Linked DNA regions of Oryzias latipes. Each later gene encodes a partner of the first gene's protein in a complex. Links are inferred from orthologs where the notes say so. Each region holds a gene or a part of one and is shown in the gene's direction. Other genes may lie near its edges.

What was found. Proteins that work in one complex are often made in the same cells at the same time.
Region 2: rbl1 (region 1) and lin9 share a complex: the UniProt entries of both Homo sapiens proteins name them as parts of the DREAM complex. The link is inferred for Oryzias latipes from reciprocal best matches to the Homo sapiens genes RBL1 and LIN9.
Region 3: rbl1 (region 1) and lin54 share a complex: the UniProt entries of both Homo sapiens proteins name them as parts of the DREAM complex. The link is inferred for Oryzias latipes from reciprocal best matches to the Homo sapiens genes RBL1 and LIN54.

What each region holds. Positions count from the first base shown.
Region 1 is NC_019863.2:32,772,288-32,778,202, reverse strand, and holds the end of rbl1 (retinoblastoma-like protein 1), read left to right. Parts: intron 1-2,747; coding exon 2,748-2,942; 3' UTR 2,943-3,869; downstream 3,870-5,915. UniProt on the Homo sapiens protein: Key regulator of entry into cell division. Directly involved in heterochromatin formation by maintaining overall chromatin structure and, in particular, that of constitutive heterochromatin by stabilizing histone methylation.
Region 2 is NC_019882.2:7,722,761-7,728,837, forward strand, and holds the end of lin9 (protein lin-9 homolog), read left to right. Parts: intron 1-464; coding exon 465-598; intron 599-687; coding exon 688-816; intron 817-1,117; coding exon 1,118-1,219; intron 1,220-1,321; coding exon 1,322-1,402; intron 1,403-1,492; coding exon 1,493-1,618; intron 1,619-2,498; coding exon 2,499-2,681; intron 2,682-2,801; coding exon 2,802-2,899; intron 2,900-2,966; coding exon 2,967-3,072; 3' UTR 3,073-3,751; downstream 3,752-6,077. Other genes in the region: homeobox protein MIXL1, read right to left, coding at 3,857-4,422, 4,526-4,649, 4,754-4,974, 5,140-5,236. UniProt on the Homo sapiens protein: Acts as a tumor suppressor. Inhibits DNA synthesis. Its ability to inhibit oncogenic transformation is mediated through its association with RB1. Plays a role in the expression of genes required for the G1/S transition.
Region 3 is NC_019870.2:2,869,217-2,874,570, reverse strand, and holds the end of lin54 (protein lin-54 homolog), read left to right. Parts: intron 1-402; coding exon 403-605; intron 606-1,933; coding exon 1,934-2,135; 3' UTR 2,136-3,028; downstream 3,029-5,354. UniProt on the Homo sapiens protein: Component of the DREAM complex, a multiprotein complex that can both act as a transcription activator or repressor depending on the context. In G0 phase, the complex binds to more than 800 promoters and is required for repression of E2F target genes.

The sequences.
Region 1 (5,915 bases):
TGATGAACACACACACACACACTGATGAACACACACACACTGATGAACACACACACACACACTGATGAACACACACACACTCACTGATGAACACACACACTCACTGATGAACACACACACACTGATGAACACACACACACACACTGATGTACACACACACTGATGAACACACACACACTGATGAACACACAAACACTGATGAACACACACACACACACTCACTGATGAACACACACACACACTGATGAACACACACACACTGATGAACACACACACACATACTGATGAACACACACACACACACTGATGAACACACAAACACTGATGAACACACACACAAACACACACTCACTGATGAACACACACACACTCACTGATGAACACACACACACTGATGAACACACACACACACACTGATGTACACACACACTGATGAACACACACACACTGATGAACACACACACACTGATGAACACACACACACTGATGAACACACACACACTGATGAACACACACACACACACTCACTGATGAACACACACACACACACTGATGAACACACACACACACACTGATGAACACACACACACACACTGATGAACACACACACACTGATGAACACACACACACTGATGAACACACACACACACACACTGATGAACACACACAAACACTGATGAACACACACACACACTGATGAACACACACACACTGATGAACACACACACACACTGATGAACACACAAACACTGATGAACACACACACACTGATGTACACACAAACACTGATGAACACACACACACACTGATGAACACACACTGATAAGAACACACACACACTGATGAACACACACACACTGATGAACACACACACTGATGAACACACACACACACACACTGATGAACACACACACACACTGATGAACACACACACACACACACTGATGAACACACACACACACACACTGATGAACACACAAACACTGATGAACACACACACTGATGAACACACACACACTGATGAACACACACACACACACTGATGAACACACACACACACACTGATGAACACACAAACACTGATGAACACACACACAAACACACACTCACTGATGAACACACACACACTCACTGATGAACACACACACACACACTGATGAACACACACACACTGATGTACACACACACTGATGAACACACACACACTGATGAACACACAAACACTGATGAACACACACACACACACTCACTGATGAACACACACACACACACTGATGAACACACACACACTGATGAACACACACACACATACTGATGAACACACACACACACACACACACACACACACACTGATGAACACACACACACTGATGAACACACACACAAACACACACAAACTGATGAACACACACACACTCACTGATGAACACACACACACTGATGAACACACACACACACACTGATGTACACACACACTGATGAACACACACACACACACACTGATGTACACACACACTGATGAAGACACACACACTGATGAACACACACACACACACTCACTGATGAACACACACACACACACTGATGAACACACACACACTGATGAACACACACACACACACTGATGAACACACACACACTCACTGATGAACACACACACTCACTGATGAACACACACACACTGATGAACACACACACACACACTGATGTACACACACACTGATGAACACACACACACTGATGAACACACAAACACTGATGAACACACACACACACACTCACTGATGAACACACACACACACTGATGAACACACACACACTGATGAACACACACACACATACTGATGAACACACACACACACACTGATGAACACACACACACTGATGAACACACAAACACTGATGAACACACACACAAACACACACTCACTGATGAACACACACACACTCACTGATGAACACACACACACTGATGAACACACACACACACACTGATGTACACACACACTGATGAACACACACACACTGATGAACACACACACACTGATGAACACACACACACTGATGAACACACACACTGATGAACACACACACTGATGAACACACAAACACTGATGAACACACAAACACTGATGAACACACACACACTGATGAACACACACACACACACACTGATGAACACACACACACACACTGATGAACACACAAACACTGATGAACACACACACACACTGATGAACACACACACACACACTGATGAACACACACACACACTGATGAACACACACACACACACACTGATGAACACACACACACACACTGATGTACACACACACTGATGAACACACACACTGATGAACACACACACACTGATGAACACACACACACTGATGAACACACACACTGATGAACACACAAACACTGATGAACACACAAACACTGATGAACACACACACACTGATGAACACACACACACTGATGAACACACACACACACACACTGATGAACACACACACACACACACTGATGAACACACACACACACTGATGAACACACACACACACACTGATGAACACACACACACACACTGATGAACACACACACACACACACTGATGAACACACACACACACACACTGATGAACACACACACACACACACTGATGAACACACACACGACCCGTGACAGACACGGCGAGCAGAAGACTCTGATGGATGACGGACTTGAAAAGTTCTTCTCTTCTGCAGGATCTGTCAGACATCAACAGGATGATCCGGCAGGGCTCTGCCAGCAGGAAGAGGGCCTTCACCATGGAGGGGGACGTGACCATGGCGTCCGCGTGCGACTCGCCAAGTAAGAGGGCGTGTCCGGAGAACGGCGGCAGCCCGGACGTGCTGCTGAAACGTCTGCAGGACGTGGTGTCGGAGAGGCAGAGCCACTGAAGTCCTGACGGGAGGAGCAGAGTCGGCAGAAGACATCCGTGGAGGTTTCTGTCCTTCAGTGGCCTGATTGGTCTGCAGGAAAGACTCATGAGCTGAAGCTGTCACCAGGGGGCGCTCCCGCTCACAGCGTTGGGGGCCGTCGCTCGTCTTGTTCTAGTGCAGTTGGAAGATGGTCGGACTGAAGCGCCACGTGTCGCTCTTTGTGGTGTAGATTGTAGGTCGTCGTCGAGGAGAAACCGTCCTTCACCACATCTGTCAGTTTTTAACCCAATATTCTCACTTTTCAGAGGAAAGATGCTCCTGCAGGTTAGATTACCTGCGGCTTTTCATTTCTTTGATCACTCATTTAGATCTCCCCCTTTGCATTTACTGAAGTGAAGCACAGGTTGCCATGACAACAGCAGACCGGTGGAAGTTTTACTGATGAGTATTTGATTCCTTCATAAACTGGTGACAAGAAAACAAAAAAACTCAATTTTAAAACATTTTTAGGTCTTAAAACAACGTCTGAACCTGTGAATATCTTCCTCTGATGGTCTTCCTCACTGTTTTTGTAAAAAGTCAGTTTAAAAGTAATTTTATTTTAACCTTTTCTCTGTTTGTTTGTGACTTTAACCATTTTGTTGTAAATGTAGTGAAGAAAATCACTGCAGAGGTGTGTGTGTGTGTGCGTGTGTGTGCGTGTGTGCCTGTGTGTGTGTGTGTAGCATCTACACACCTGGTTTTATTCAGTTTAAGATTTGATGACACCTGTTTTTCATACATGGAACAAAATTCTGTCAGAAACTGAACATTTTTTGAAGTCTTTCTGTTTTGTCCTGAGAAAACAGAAATACAGAAAATCTGTTTCAATTATGGAAAAGAAGCTGTTTCTCTGCAAACTACAATCGTGTTCAGTTTGAAAAAAATAAAATGTATGTTTTATTATTTCTGTGGAATTCTTTAATATGCAGATAAATATCAGGTTTTGCCTTTTAAGGCCAGAATGTTCTGAAAATAAAAAAAAACCTTAAAGGTAGACATTTGTTCAAACATTATGACCAAAAATCACCACAAGAGGTAAAGAGTCCAAAACAAACTGGAAGGGAAATAAAGACGGCAGAGACACCCAAACAGCCCCAGGCAGCTGTGACCTCTGCCTGGAGGGGGCGGGGCCTCCAGGAGGACTCACCGCCAACCTGCAGAACGAATGCAAAGAAAACTCCATAAACCAAAACACCAAAGACAGACGCTTCAACAGCTTCAGAGCTTCAAGGCTTCAGAGATTCAAAAGCTTCAACAGCTTCAGAGCAGGCAACGTCCATCTCTGCAAGCTTCCGTTTCAGGAGAGACGCTCTGCTGGAGCTGCTGCTCCTGTCAGTAGATCTTTCCTTTCTGCTCTTTTCCATCCCGTCCAGACTTTCCATCTGAGACTTTCTGTGAGGAACCTTCTGAGCCGCTTTGAGTTCGAACAGTTTTTAGTGTAGACCAGGGGTCGGGAACCTATGGCTCGCGAGCCATATATGGCTCTTTTGATGGTCACATGTGGCTCGCAGACAAATCTTTAATTATACTTTTTTTTAATCATTAGTCCAGTTCTTCTCGGGCGCGATGCGATGCCAGAGGCGCGCAGTAGTAGCGGTGCTTGGAGAGAAAAATCTGCGCCAGCGCTATAAGTTTACAATTATCTATAATTTCACAGAGTTTGTACCAACTGGAAACCTGTGAATTGCCGTGCCTAAAAGTGCGCGCTCCCGTCTCTGAGAAAGAGCGCGCAGTTGCGGGGACGGGATGTGTGAGGAAGAAAGCAGAGGGTGGGGGGGGGGGGGTGTTGTGGGGACAGGCAGCAGGTGAATCGCGCAGGGATTGTAAAAACGTAAAACCCGCTTCCCGTCACTCACTGCAGCGTGTGAGTGTGTGTTTGGTTCCATGTCTGTCTCACATCTACAGAACATTCAGACCTACGATCACGTTTAAAGTCTCAACGCCTGCATGAAGCAGAAACTCACCACGTATCAACCAGACTAAACCATCAGCAAAACTACCACGAGAAATACTCATCATTTATTAGCAACAGAATAACAATGTTATTAAAAAGAATCCACAGACTTATTGTACTTTAAAAATGTTGAAATTACATCAAATGCACACATTCACTTGTATATTTAGTTTTAAATATATCGTTGCTTACTGACTTGGACTGGGTGGCTGTTGGGTCGCGTTAAAAGTTCTGGAGTTCATTGAATGCATCAAGCAGAGATCTGATTGGCTCTCAGTTCTGTCGCTCAGCCTGTTGTTAGGTAATTTGGACCAATGGGGTTCAGCTATGGGCCGAATAAGGGAAATGGGAGGGCTGGAGCGGGAGGGGGGAATATAAAGTTGGGAGAAGCGCTCTCGTTTCAGCGGGAGAGATTCAGGAGTTGCTGAATTAATTGTACGGCGTTTGTTGTGGTCTGCAGTCACCAGAATAAAGAACCTTAAAAGAGGTTAAGTCTCCGTGCCTCAGTGTGGGAAAGGGACACTACATTATTGTATGGCTCTTTGGAAATTACATTTAAAAATATGTGGCGTTTATGGCTCTCTTGGCCAAAAAGGTTCCCGACCCCTGGTGTAGAGGATCAGAAATCCCCCGAGGAACCAAGTGGAGACTTTCAGAGGACAGAAGATGCTGAGAATGAATGAATGTTTTATTAGACCCCATGAAAACAGAGAGAACCAAGAGCAGAAACGAAAAACAAACAGGACAACAGACATAAAAGACAGAATCGAACGGAGCACTTCCGGTGATGGACGCAAATATCCCCGTCGCTCCCGTTCAGCGGCGCTGCAGCCCCGGTTCATCAGGAAATCAGGTCACAAACATGACGTTCCCGTGACTCCGCCGCTCAACCGACACCAGAAATCCACGCGCAGCCTTTGCGCATGGTCAGTGTCTCCTCCGCGCTCCCTCCCCCTCCTCCCCCTCAGCATCCATCATCAGATGATGCCCTCAGC
Region 2 (6,077 bases), on another chromosome or scaffold:
TTCAAACACCTGTTGATCCTTAACTCCTCTTATCTTTATATCCTGAAATCAGAGTTTCTTTATAGATTTTCTGGAATATTTGGATATTTGAACATTGTTTGAGCTCATTCCAAAGTTTAGTGCAAGTCTAGATTGATCAAATAAATTGTTTGTATGATAGATACATAGCCGGCTTTATGTACAATACTGATGGCTCGTTTTTGAAGTAAAAAGAGAGGATGTAGTGAACTCTTATAATTATTACACCACATTTCTATACAGTAGGTGAAATATGTTAGTATTAAGAAGCATTATAACAAATATCTACTGTTGTATTCTAATTTATATTTAGATTTATTTATGATTTAATTTCTTTTTGAAACTTTAGTTTGTATGTAGGATGTTGTATGTTGAATGTGAGCTGGGATTAGACCGTCATACTGATGATGTGTTGTTGGAACGCTAATCCTGCTCACTTTTTCCAGCTCGACTCCGAGGCAACCACGATGGCTTGTTCACGGGGCAGATTGATGCAGTCGACACAAGCGCGGCCACCTATCGTGTCACCTTCGACCGCACTGGCCTGGGAACTCACACCGTGCCTGATTACGAAGTTTTGGTAAATGTGTAAATAAATGGTTTCACCAAAACAACCGGCAGCAGGAACTCTGAAGCTCGTTTTCCTAATCTAACGATTTGTTTTTCCAGAGCAACGAACCCAATGAAACCATGCCCATCTCGGCTTTCGCTCAGAAACACCGGTCAGCGCGGTACATGCAGAACGTCATGACTCCGCCCAGAGCGACGTATCCGTCCGTCACGACACCTGTCCACATGGTAACCGTAACATCAGTCTAATCCAACAATAATGGGCTGCCATTTCATATTTACATGCGAACTGTAAACATTTCTGTCTGCTGCCTGAAATGTGCCTTCAGAATCGTTTTGTTCAATTTATGAAGCCTATAGATAAAATTAAACTCAGTGATGGTGAAATCTTTTTACAGTTCTCTTTTATAACTTGGTACCTGAATGTTTTCTTTAACATGTTACATGCAAATCTTAATTTTGTTGGTTTTTCATGTCAATCGCTTGTGAAATCTGCCTCATTTCTCTACATGTATGTATTTTCTCCCAGGACAATGATCCTCTTATGAGCCAATCGCCTTGGAGGAACAAACTGTCGTGTTCTGAGGGAGAAACACTCGGAGGATTTCCTGTAAAATTCTTGGTTCAAGTTGTAAGCCTTTTTTTTGTAAAAGAAATTTGCAATATTCTTTTTTTAAATGTGGAACTGGACACGCACTCTAAATGACTTTTGTTTGTTTGTTTTTGTTTCCAGACCAGATTGTCCAAAATCCTGATGATAAAGAAAGAGCACATCAAGCATTTAAAAGAAATGAACACGGAGGCAGAAAGGCTGGTATGCTATTCACAGAATGACTGAAAACGCTTTCAATTCTCAAATAGGTTTAAAGAAAGACTAAATAACATTCCTGCTTCTTGTATTCAGAAGTCGTACTCGATGCCCATCGACCTGGACTTTCAAAAGCGATATGCCATCACTGTGCTTGAGCTGGACCAGCTTAACAAAGATCTGAACAAAGTATTTCATGAAGTGCAGCAGTTCTGTTGCGATGTAAGTTCATCCTGTCAAGTCTGACTGTTTGAAGGTCTCTCAGGTACATAAAGTACTTTTTTCATACGTTTTGACCAGTTAAAGGGGACGTACGGTTTTGTAGGCAAGCCTATCTTAAACATTCAAACTGATCTTTTCCGACTGAGCCTTCGTCTGTTGAATTCTACTGGTTTGGAGTTTGGAGTATCCCAACATTATACTGGAATAGGAGAGAAAAATAAGTTTTATTAAGTTAGAAATGAAATGCATTTAAAGGACTGAGTAACAGAATGTGACTGATTTATAGTCTAAAGTCTATTAGATCAGTCAGTTTTAGCAACAGTGAGGCTTTTACTGATGTGCAGAATAAAACGAGGACCTAAGACATTGGAAGTTCACCGATAACCTGAATAGAATAGAGTAGATTATGGATCCCGCAATGGAGAAATTGATGTTTTAAAACTTTTTTTTGTGTATTAAAGATGTTATGCAGGTAATAATTGTTGTTAATTGCATATTGTCGCACTGCAACACATCACAGCGGCTTAACAAATAATTTGAACAGCAGAAATGTTTTCACATCCTGATGTTTGATGTTAAGTGCACTGATCCATTCTTTGTAGTTTCAGAGTTAAAGCTGAAATTGAGATTTATTAGCAAACTCCAGGCTAATTAAAAACCTCCCTGATTTGAGAAATCGATTTGTCACAAATATTGTTTCATGTTGGATTTTTATCACAAAGCTGTCTGTTGTAAAGTTGCTTTAGCAAAAACTAGGTCTCCACGTCTGGATTTCTGTACGTGACAGGATTTTAAATAATGTTGGGAACACAAAAGGTGCTCTTCCTGAGTGTTTGGGAAGACTGATGCTGCAGTGTATTCACCTTAAATCTTTGTCCAGCTTTCTCCGGATCAGGGCATGGTTCCAGCTGACCATCCCACAGAGCTGCGGCGGCGTTGTGAAGAGCAAGCCCAGCAGATGGTGCAGATGTACAACCCGCAGTGGGACGGACAGCACATCATCACAAACCCCGGCCTCACGAGCCTCATCTCCCGCCTCACTGCTCTGCTCTTACAGATAAAGGTGGAGAGCATTTCACAAGTTCTGCAGCTGAAGGAAGCTGATAGTCTTCAGCCGGAGAGGCAACTCATGTGTTATTCATAAGTTGATTAGCTGCTTATCTGACCTCCTGCTTCGTTTCAGTGTCTGGCAGATGAAGGGGATCTGAACTCATTTGAGTTTAAATCCCTGACAGACTCCCTGAATGACATCAAAGCTTCAGTCGATCCTTCCAACCTCAGGTAGATCAACCCTCCTCTATTTTTGAACTCCTTACATGTCTTTACTTACAGTCTCCCTCATTTCCAGTTGCTTTCAGAACAACGTAGAAATCCACGTTGCTCACATTCAGAGTGGTTTGAGTCAACTGGGAAATCTCCACGCATTCGCTGCAAACAACACCAATGCAGTCTAAGCACCAGCATTTTCTCCTGCACGCGCATGGAGGCGTGCCACCTCACGGTCGGTGCTTCCATCTAAACGGGATTTGATCTCACCGGAGCAACGATGTTCTCGTTTTTACCCATCCGTTTTGTTTTATGGGAAATGTTTGAGCTCCTGACGCTAAAGACAACACCTCCAACGTGCCAAGCATTGATTCCAACAGTTTTTATTGTTGATATTTATTTATTTTTGTGTAGTTGTGTATGTTGATAAAAAAACTGTTTCTTCCTATGAAACTTCTGTTGTGTTGGGAAGCAAAAGAATGTTTAATGAAAAGTTTATTGTTGTAGATAACTGTACAATATCTCTAATTAATAGAATATTAACATTTCTGCCTCATATTCAGAAAAGGCTTTTTGTAATTTTGTGTGCACTAAAGAGATTTTGGTATTTTTGTAAACGAGATCTCTGGGTTTTTGATGCCTTTTACTCTTAAGATGTTAGCATTACCACATCTGGCATGGCTGCTGATCCCCTCGACCTAAAGCCTGCATCCCCATCACCCCCCAGACCCCAAAAATCTCAAGTTAATTTTTTTTTTCTTCTTAGGGAACCCCTTTTTTCAGTATTGTACAGTTGTATATGAAAATGCCTCAGGGCAACTGTAAATGTTTCCCTCCTTTTTTATTAAACATAATGGTGCAAAAGTCTTTTTTTTTCTTTTATTTTATACACAACTCGGAAAATACAAATACAGTCATGAATATTATTACGTTTTACAATAAATACAGACTCCCGTGGATCTTGGAGGCTCCTTAAAGATCGCAGAAGCCACTGAAGCCGGCCATCGTTTCCTGTTCCCAGTCAGAATCCGTGTCGGAAATGTTCTGTGCTTCCATGTTTTGAATGGGAGAGAAGTGGCCGAGTCCTCCACCTGTAAGTCTCATTTGTGGATACTGCATCTGACACACGCTATCATTTGGAGACGACCTTGTGAAACTGCTGGGGATCGGAGGTATCACAATTTTCATCTCCGGCCCGATAGTTTTATTAGGTGGGAAGTTGTCGTACTCCACTAAGACTTTTGGAGCCTGGTTATCAGGCTTGTTGGCTTCAGTCTTGACTTGATGCTCGTTCTGGGTGGGATAGAGATGGAAGCTTGGGGTGGGGATGGTGGGTTTGTGTTGCTGCACTTGGCCAGCCGGGCCTCTGGGTCCCTTGATGTCATAAAGGCATGATGAAGATTTCTGAGTGTAATTGCTGGAATTCCCTGGAAGTCTGGTCATGTGAGGATCCACAGCGCTTTGTTGAATAAGCGGCATAAAACTATCATGTGCTTTAAAAGCTCCCATCCTTTGCATCTCAGAGTTGTGCTCATAAGCTGAAAAACAGTAGGAAACATTTTCAAAAAAGGTGTGCTTTTTATTCCTCTGTCTTATTAAATCAGAAAGGAAAATATATCCAGGACAGAAGGATGAAATTACCTTTTTGAGAGGACATTCTGCTCTGGATTTGGCTGAAGGTGACACCTCCTGGGGTGTTTGAGACCTTGGAGACTGAGGATCCCACCTGCCTACGAGACTTGGCCCTTCTGTTCTGAAACCAAACCTAAAATAATAAATACAAATGGGACATTTAGAGATTATTTTTTAAACTTTCCTGGTTGTAACTATATGTTTGACTAACAAAATCCCAGTTAAGCACATCCTTACCTGAATCCTGGACTCTGGCAGTCCAGTCAGAGCCTCCAGGCGCTCTCGGAGGTAGATGTCAGGATATTTTGTGTCAGAATAAACTTTTTCCAGCACTTGTATTTGCTGCTGGGTGAAGTTGGTCCTCTTTCTCCTGTGCGTTAGAATGGTCATGCATTTCTCCTCCCTTGGTGCAGAGTTTGTGGGGGTAAAGTAGTTCGTAACATCCGAGGATCCGAATTCTGTGATTTCAAGAGAATCGGAGAGAGTTTAACTTCGGGAAGCGAACTTGGTGCGTAAATGACGCACAGCGAGAAGCGCAAAAACTGGATCTTTGTATAAAACCTATTATTTGAAAAAGCAAGTATTGGAGGAGTTGGAACAGTTCAGATCGGTTGGTCACTCACCTGAGCTCACCACGCGGCTCATGTGCGGAGGCCCGTCGTGAAGCATCTGAAAGTGGTTCAGGTCCCGGACGCGCATTTTCCCACCAACCGCAGACATTGTCCTCCTGCCTCTGGAGCTGCAGCCGCTGACTGTGACCCGTGGGCTCTCTGGGGGTTATATCCCAGCCGCGATCAAAGGTGGTACCGAGGGAATGTGTGAATGGGCCGACCATCCGTGCCGGCTGGCACAGCAGAGGCTGCGCAGCGACTTCAGACGTCTGCGGAGCCCGGAGGTGTGAAAGCATCACACCTGGAACGATGCAGCGACTGCAGGCCTGTTAAAGCGGGGTTAACGTGAGCTGAGGCCTCAATACACATTTGCAGAAAAAACATTTACCTGCTGTGGGAAGAGTAAAGCCGCAACATGCCGGCAGTAGCTGAAAATCTGAAGGAAATTTCCCCAGCAGGGGTGTTGTGCCCCTTTAAAGGACTTTTTTCAATAAAGTTCACATGTCATTCTGAAAAATAAATACACATGTTATCACAAGACAAAAAATACACAAATATCAACAATTAAAAAGCTCTCCAGCCATAGATATCCAAATATCTGTTCAATTTTGAAACAGTTAGGAACAAAAACTGTGTTTAAAGTGGCCTAAACCAAAGGCCAGTGTGCAAACAGAAACACTAAATTTTATTTAAGAAGTCAATCTTGTACAAGGAGGATAATGTTACAGCACACAGGCCCTCTTGATCTTCCAAATTAACCTCCTCAATGTTGATCTATACAGCTTTAAAGGAAATCCAGTATTCTGCAAAAACGTGTTCATTTCAATACACAAACCTTTTGTAGAGAGTCCTGGAAGAGTGGCCACTTATTTCTATTGAGTGGATCAAAGGGGATCAATGACAATTTAGACAGTTACCTATTTCATGTGTTTGGAAATATATTAAAACTT
Region 3 (5,354 bases), on another chromosome or scaffold:
ACTAAATTCGAACGCATCTTGTACCCAGTGAAAATGAATTTTTGGCATTTTTGGTACTTGTGAAAGCGTAATAAATGACTCAAGCTAAAAAAAACGATATAACGTGATTTTAATACATGAGAATGTGGGTGTGGTTAATAAGAAACCTCTGTTGCTAAGGAAATCCACAAATGTACTTTTGCCGATTCTTCTAAAAATTACATGAACCTGTTCGTCACCCCCAGGCAACCAAGAAAGTAAATGGTTGCTATGGAGATAAACTAATTGAAAAGTTGCCATTTTAAGATTTTCTTTTTCTTTATTTATTACGAATTTGTGCCGTGAAGCTTTGACCAGGGCAGCAGGGACATACAAAAAAAAACTGCTGAAGCATTAATCGTGTTTACATTTCTTTCTTCCAAGGCAAAGATCATGTGCTCATCCATATGCAAATGCATCGGGTGCAAAAACTTTGAGGAAAGCCCGGAGAGGAAGACGCTGATGCACCTGGCGGACGCAGCAGAAGTGAGGGTTCAGCAGCAGACGGCAGCAAAGACCAAGCTGTCCTCGCAGATCTCAGACCTGCTCATGAGGACCACTCCGGTCATTTCCAGCGGAAGCGGGAGGTGAGAACCGCTGCCGGAAAACTCCGGAAACGCCTGGAGAACTTTACACGGATGAGAAATAAACAAAGAAAATGGTTTTGGGCTCTATTTATCTGAAAATGTTACACCAAAACCTTTTTTTTCTGCATTTAAGACTCCTGTTGACTCACAAATACATAAGCAATCGACACATTTCTGGCCTTCTGATGCTGTTTTCTTGCTTTAAACAGAAAAATTATTCAGATCAGACTCATATCATCTTTTTTTTGGGTATTACTGCAAAAAGTTATGGCTGCCAAAAAAATGTAGGACAGCTGAAAAAGAGTATGTAATGTCAAAAGCAAAAAAAAAGGTTGGGTTAAGGGTAAATTTGATTCGTAGAGGGAAAACCTTAAAAATTTAGAAAATTCCAAAACGAGGGGAATTGATTATGAGAAATATTTAAACTTATTATTAAATCTTTATTTAACTCATAAGAACCCAAACCCATTTTTCCTTCAAAATAAGATTGTGTGTATTTACTGCAAACCAAGTGGACAAACTTTTCTGACATTTTTCTGTTACGCTGATGTCACTGTGGGTTCAAGAACAAGTGTGTAATGTTCAGCGAAGCTAAAAAAAGAGCTAAGTTAAATTCTATATTTAAGGTTAGTTGCCCTTATTGCATGCTTATTGTTCTGCTAAATACAAGACAGCACAAAAATCTAGAAAATTAGGAAAAACGGCCCAGAAAACAGGAAAACAAGGCGATGCAAAAAAATAGCACAAAATCTCAATTTAAGACGACTGGAAAAAAAGTGTGAAATGTTAAATAAAGTTAAAAAAATATGTTGTTTTTTTCATCAACAGTTTTTTATTGTTCTGCTAAATAAAACAAAAAATGTGGAAAAATGCCCCAATAAAGGAAAATGGTGGTGTGGATATAAAAGTCAAACTTTTTGGGGGAAATAAAGTCGAAAAGAAAAAAAACATGTTTTTTAAATCTTAATCTTGTTCAGTAGTTTTCATTAAGCTAAGATGAATTTGTGTTTACAGTACGAAGCTTTAGGCTAAATAGCTCAAATATAAGACGGCTAAAAACAAGCTATGGGATAAAAATAAGTTCTTTGTCATAAATGGTAAATAATTAAAAAGACAGCTTAAAAGAAAATATTTTTAATGTGTTTATTTCTTTGTCAATACAGATTTTGAAAAGCAGATTAATGTGGAAATTGCATAAAAGCGGGTTTGAGGATCTTTTTTTCAGGATGATGATGCAACAAAGAACAGGAGCTTGCATTAAAAAAAAACAATATTAATAATCGACAAACATCAGAAATTCAGAGTCATGATAGTCTTGTTCCCCGCAGGCTTCCGTACACGTTCCTAACGAAGGAGGTGGTGGAGGCGACGTGCGAGTGTCTGCTGGACAAGGCCAGAAGAGCCGAGCAGACGGATCAGCTGACGAGCGAAGCGGAGCGGCTGATCCTGGAGGAGTTCGGACACTGCCTTATGAACATCATCACCTCTGCGGGGAAGGCCAAAGCCGACAGTGCCTCCATCAACTGCTGAGTTGAGCTGTCGCCAAGTTTCCCCGGTCGCGCCTCGGTCGCCGCGCCTCCGACGCCCGTCCCTTCCCGCGGGAGGAACGGGGCCGTCTCCTCCGAGGCAGAGGGAGGAGCCTAAAAAGGCGGATTTCTCCCAGCGGCAGCTGGAGCGAGCGGCTCAGCTCGGACTGATGAGCGGACTCTGGGTCCCACTCGTTCATCGGACTGTGATGCACAGAAACGACGAGTTGGAGTCCAACAGGAACTTCTCTGCCCTTCAGAACCTCCTCCTCTTCTGTTTCCACCTGACTGCTGCTCTTATTTTGAGGTTTTCCAAGAACGCCTCTCATTTTGCTATCGGTATATTTGTGCTTACGGTAGACGAGCAGAACTTTTATCTTTTGATATTTATTTTGTCAAATATTTGTTATCAGAGTGCTAATATTGTGTGGCTCATAGGTCCACAAACTATTAACTAAAGTTAGGCAGCATTGTTTTTTTCCTATGAAAGTAATTAGATTTTGTTGGTTTTATACTAAATAAAATTGTGAGACCTGACGGACGGAGGATCAGCTGCAACATGAGTGGACTGATGGAGGATTATGTTTCGACTGAATACTTTAGACATTAAACCCAGCATGAATTTGATAGATTGATGCGGATTACTCGTTAGGGGGACGTCACAACAGCTCATTCATTCAGACCCAGCCTCGGTTTGACCGCCATTTAAAAGGAGAAATACTCAGAAATGCAAAAATGAAATGTTTTTATTAAATTATATTTGTTCTCTTCTATAAGAAAAATGCCACAGGTACATGACAAAAACCCAAAAAAACCTGATTTTCATCTGACTTTAAAGTGAAGGTCCCGAATGAATGAGGGTAAAAATAAAAACGAGAATAAAATTGGAGGACCTTTTTTTTGTTTGTTTTTTGTTTTTTATATTGATGAAAATTAGAAAAATATAAAGTTTAGGAGGCCGGAGCAGGCTGGCTCCCCGGAGCTGGCAAAGTGATCGGGATCCATGCGCCCTACGGCAAACTGTCCATGGTGAACCCGTCCCGGCTCCTGTTGGGCGATTTGGTTCAGACGGGACCTGAGGTGGCGCACGAATCGCCCCCCCCCCCCCCCCCCCCCCCCCCCCCCCCCCCCCAGAGGAACTCATCCTCTGAGGATGGATTAAGTTTGGGATTAATTTGAGTATTTGGAAAATTACATGTGAATAGTCATTTCAGCCAGTGCCGCTCAAATTCTGCAATGCAACTCAATTTCATGGACTTATCAAAGTTCTTTTTTGTGGCTAATCTTAGTAAACAAGGTTTTTGTAAATGTTGTTCAAAAGTGGCGATTTGGAACCAAAAATATGTCAGTTTTCACTTTTTTGAATCGAGACTGTCAGTTTGCTGTCATTTGTGCAGCTCTTCACTCATGCTAGACACTGATTTAGTCAGAAAGGTGGCATCAAGGGCGGAGCTACTTAGCTCAGCTCCAATGGCCACGCCCATTTAGAGGAGATTTTGGAAACGGAGGCTTCAGATAAACATGAAATATGGCTTTTTAAGACATTTCTGTTACGGAATTTTGGTTAAAAACTTCATAATCATAACTAAAACTACGACGGAGTTTTAGGGCCACGGTGAGGAAAAAAAATTCTGGCCAACGTGACGAGATTAAAGTCGTCATGTCGACTTTAATCTCGTCATGACGAGAAAAAACTCGACACAAAGTTTCGAGAAAAAACTCGTCGTGTCGAGATAAAAGTCGAAATAAAGTTTCGAGATTAAAGTCGAAATGTTGTGCGAGAGCAGTGAAGCTGAGTCTTTCAGGAATATTCAGTGTTATGGCTAATGTTAGTGAGCTAGTGGCTTTGTATTTAAGAGTTTACGACAGAGTTTTATGGCCACCAAAAAAAACTAATTTTATTAGGAGATAAAAACTCGTAAATTTACGGGAAAAAGTTCATTGATTAACAAGGAGAAAACCCAGAAGTTGTCTGTTTATCGGAGCCTAGCTTGAAGATGAAATATGTGGAGCCTTTTGTGAAGCTTTATTTCCGGATTATAGGTTTAAAACAAAGATATTCTGAGCCTTTTGGCGACTCAAAATCAGATTATTTTCCGTGGAGCCGTCTTTCCGGGGTTCGGTGTCAGTAAAGCGGACTTTGATATGTAAAATAGGGAGCTCAGAGACACGTTTGGGTGTAGAGGATCGCTGCAGCCTTTATTCTCCTTTTCATTCACATAACCTGAAGTTCATCTGTCACATTACGTCATGAATCTGTCATCCGATCACCAATGCGGAAGTAAACAGTGTCACATACGCCCCCTCCTGCAGATGAAGCGACCCGTTTGATCATTAAAAAACAAAGATGAATGAAAATAGTCTGTTATATTAGCATTACAACGTTGAAAATGGCAAAAAGTGCTTCTCCTCCTCAGACAGAAGCATCACACAAACATAGATATCTGGTCTCTGGTGGAGGAAGAAAGGATTCAAGCAAACAGCTGCAGAGATCCTGCAAACCAACCATCAATAAATAAAACTTTAATAACTTGTGAATCAATCAAATGAGCCTCCAGACATTTGGAACGTTATCAATTAACATTCAGCTCACCTGTTCAACAAAGTTTAGTCGGTCTGCTCTGCTGCTGCACGGCGATCACCTGCTGCTCTGCGTGCTGCTCACTTCCACAATAATCTCGTAAATTTACGATTTTTTTTCTCTCGCGCGCAACATTGCGACTTTAATCTCGAAACTTTATTTCGACTTTTATCTCGACAGGACGAGTTTTTTCTCGAAACTTTGTGTCGAGTTTTTTCTCGTCATGACGAGATTAAAGTCGACATGACGACTTTAATCTCGTCATGTTGGGCAGAATTTTTTTTCCTCACCGTGGCCCTAAAACTCCGTCGTACTAAAACACCACTGAGAACTTAAAAAAAAACATTCTGTACATTTGGAATCCAAACTATAAACATTCTATATCAACTTTTTTGTCCTTCACTTTTTGGTAATGAGTTTGGGCACTTTCAAAGACAAAGAAAAAAAGTCATTAAAAAGAAAAATCTTTATTTGTAAAGCACTAAACAATAACATCAGGGTACCAACTTACATTAAGAAGATAAATAAAAAGAGAAAATCAAAAATTAAGCTAAATGAAAAAAAAATGAAAAATAAAAGCATTAAATTACAAAAGGGCAATGGAATGCATAAAAGTCAGATAAAAATATTAAAGAAGACGAA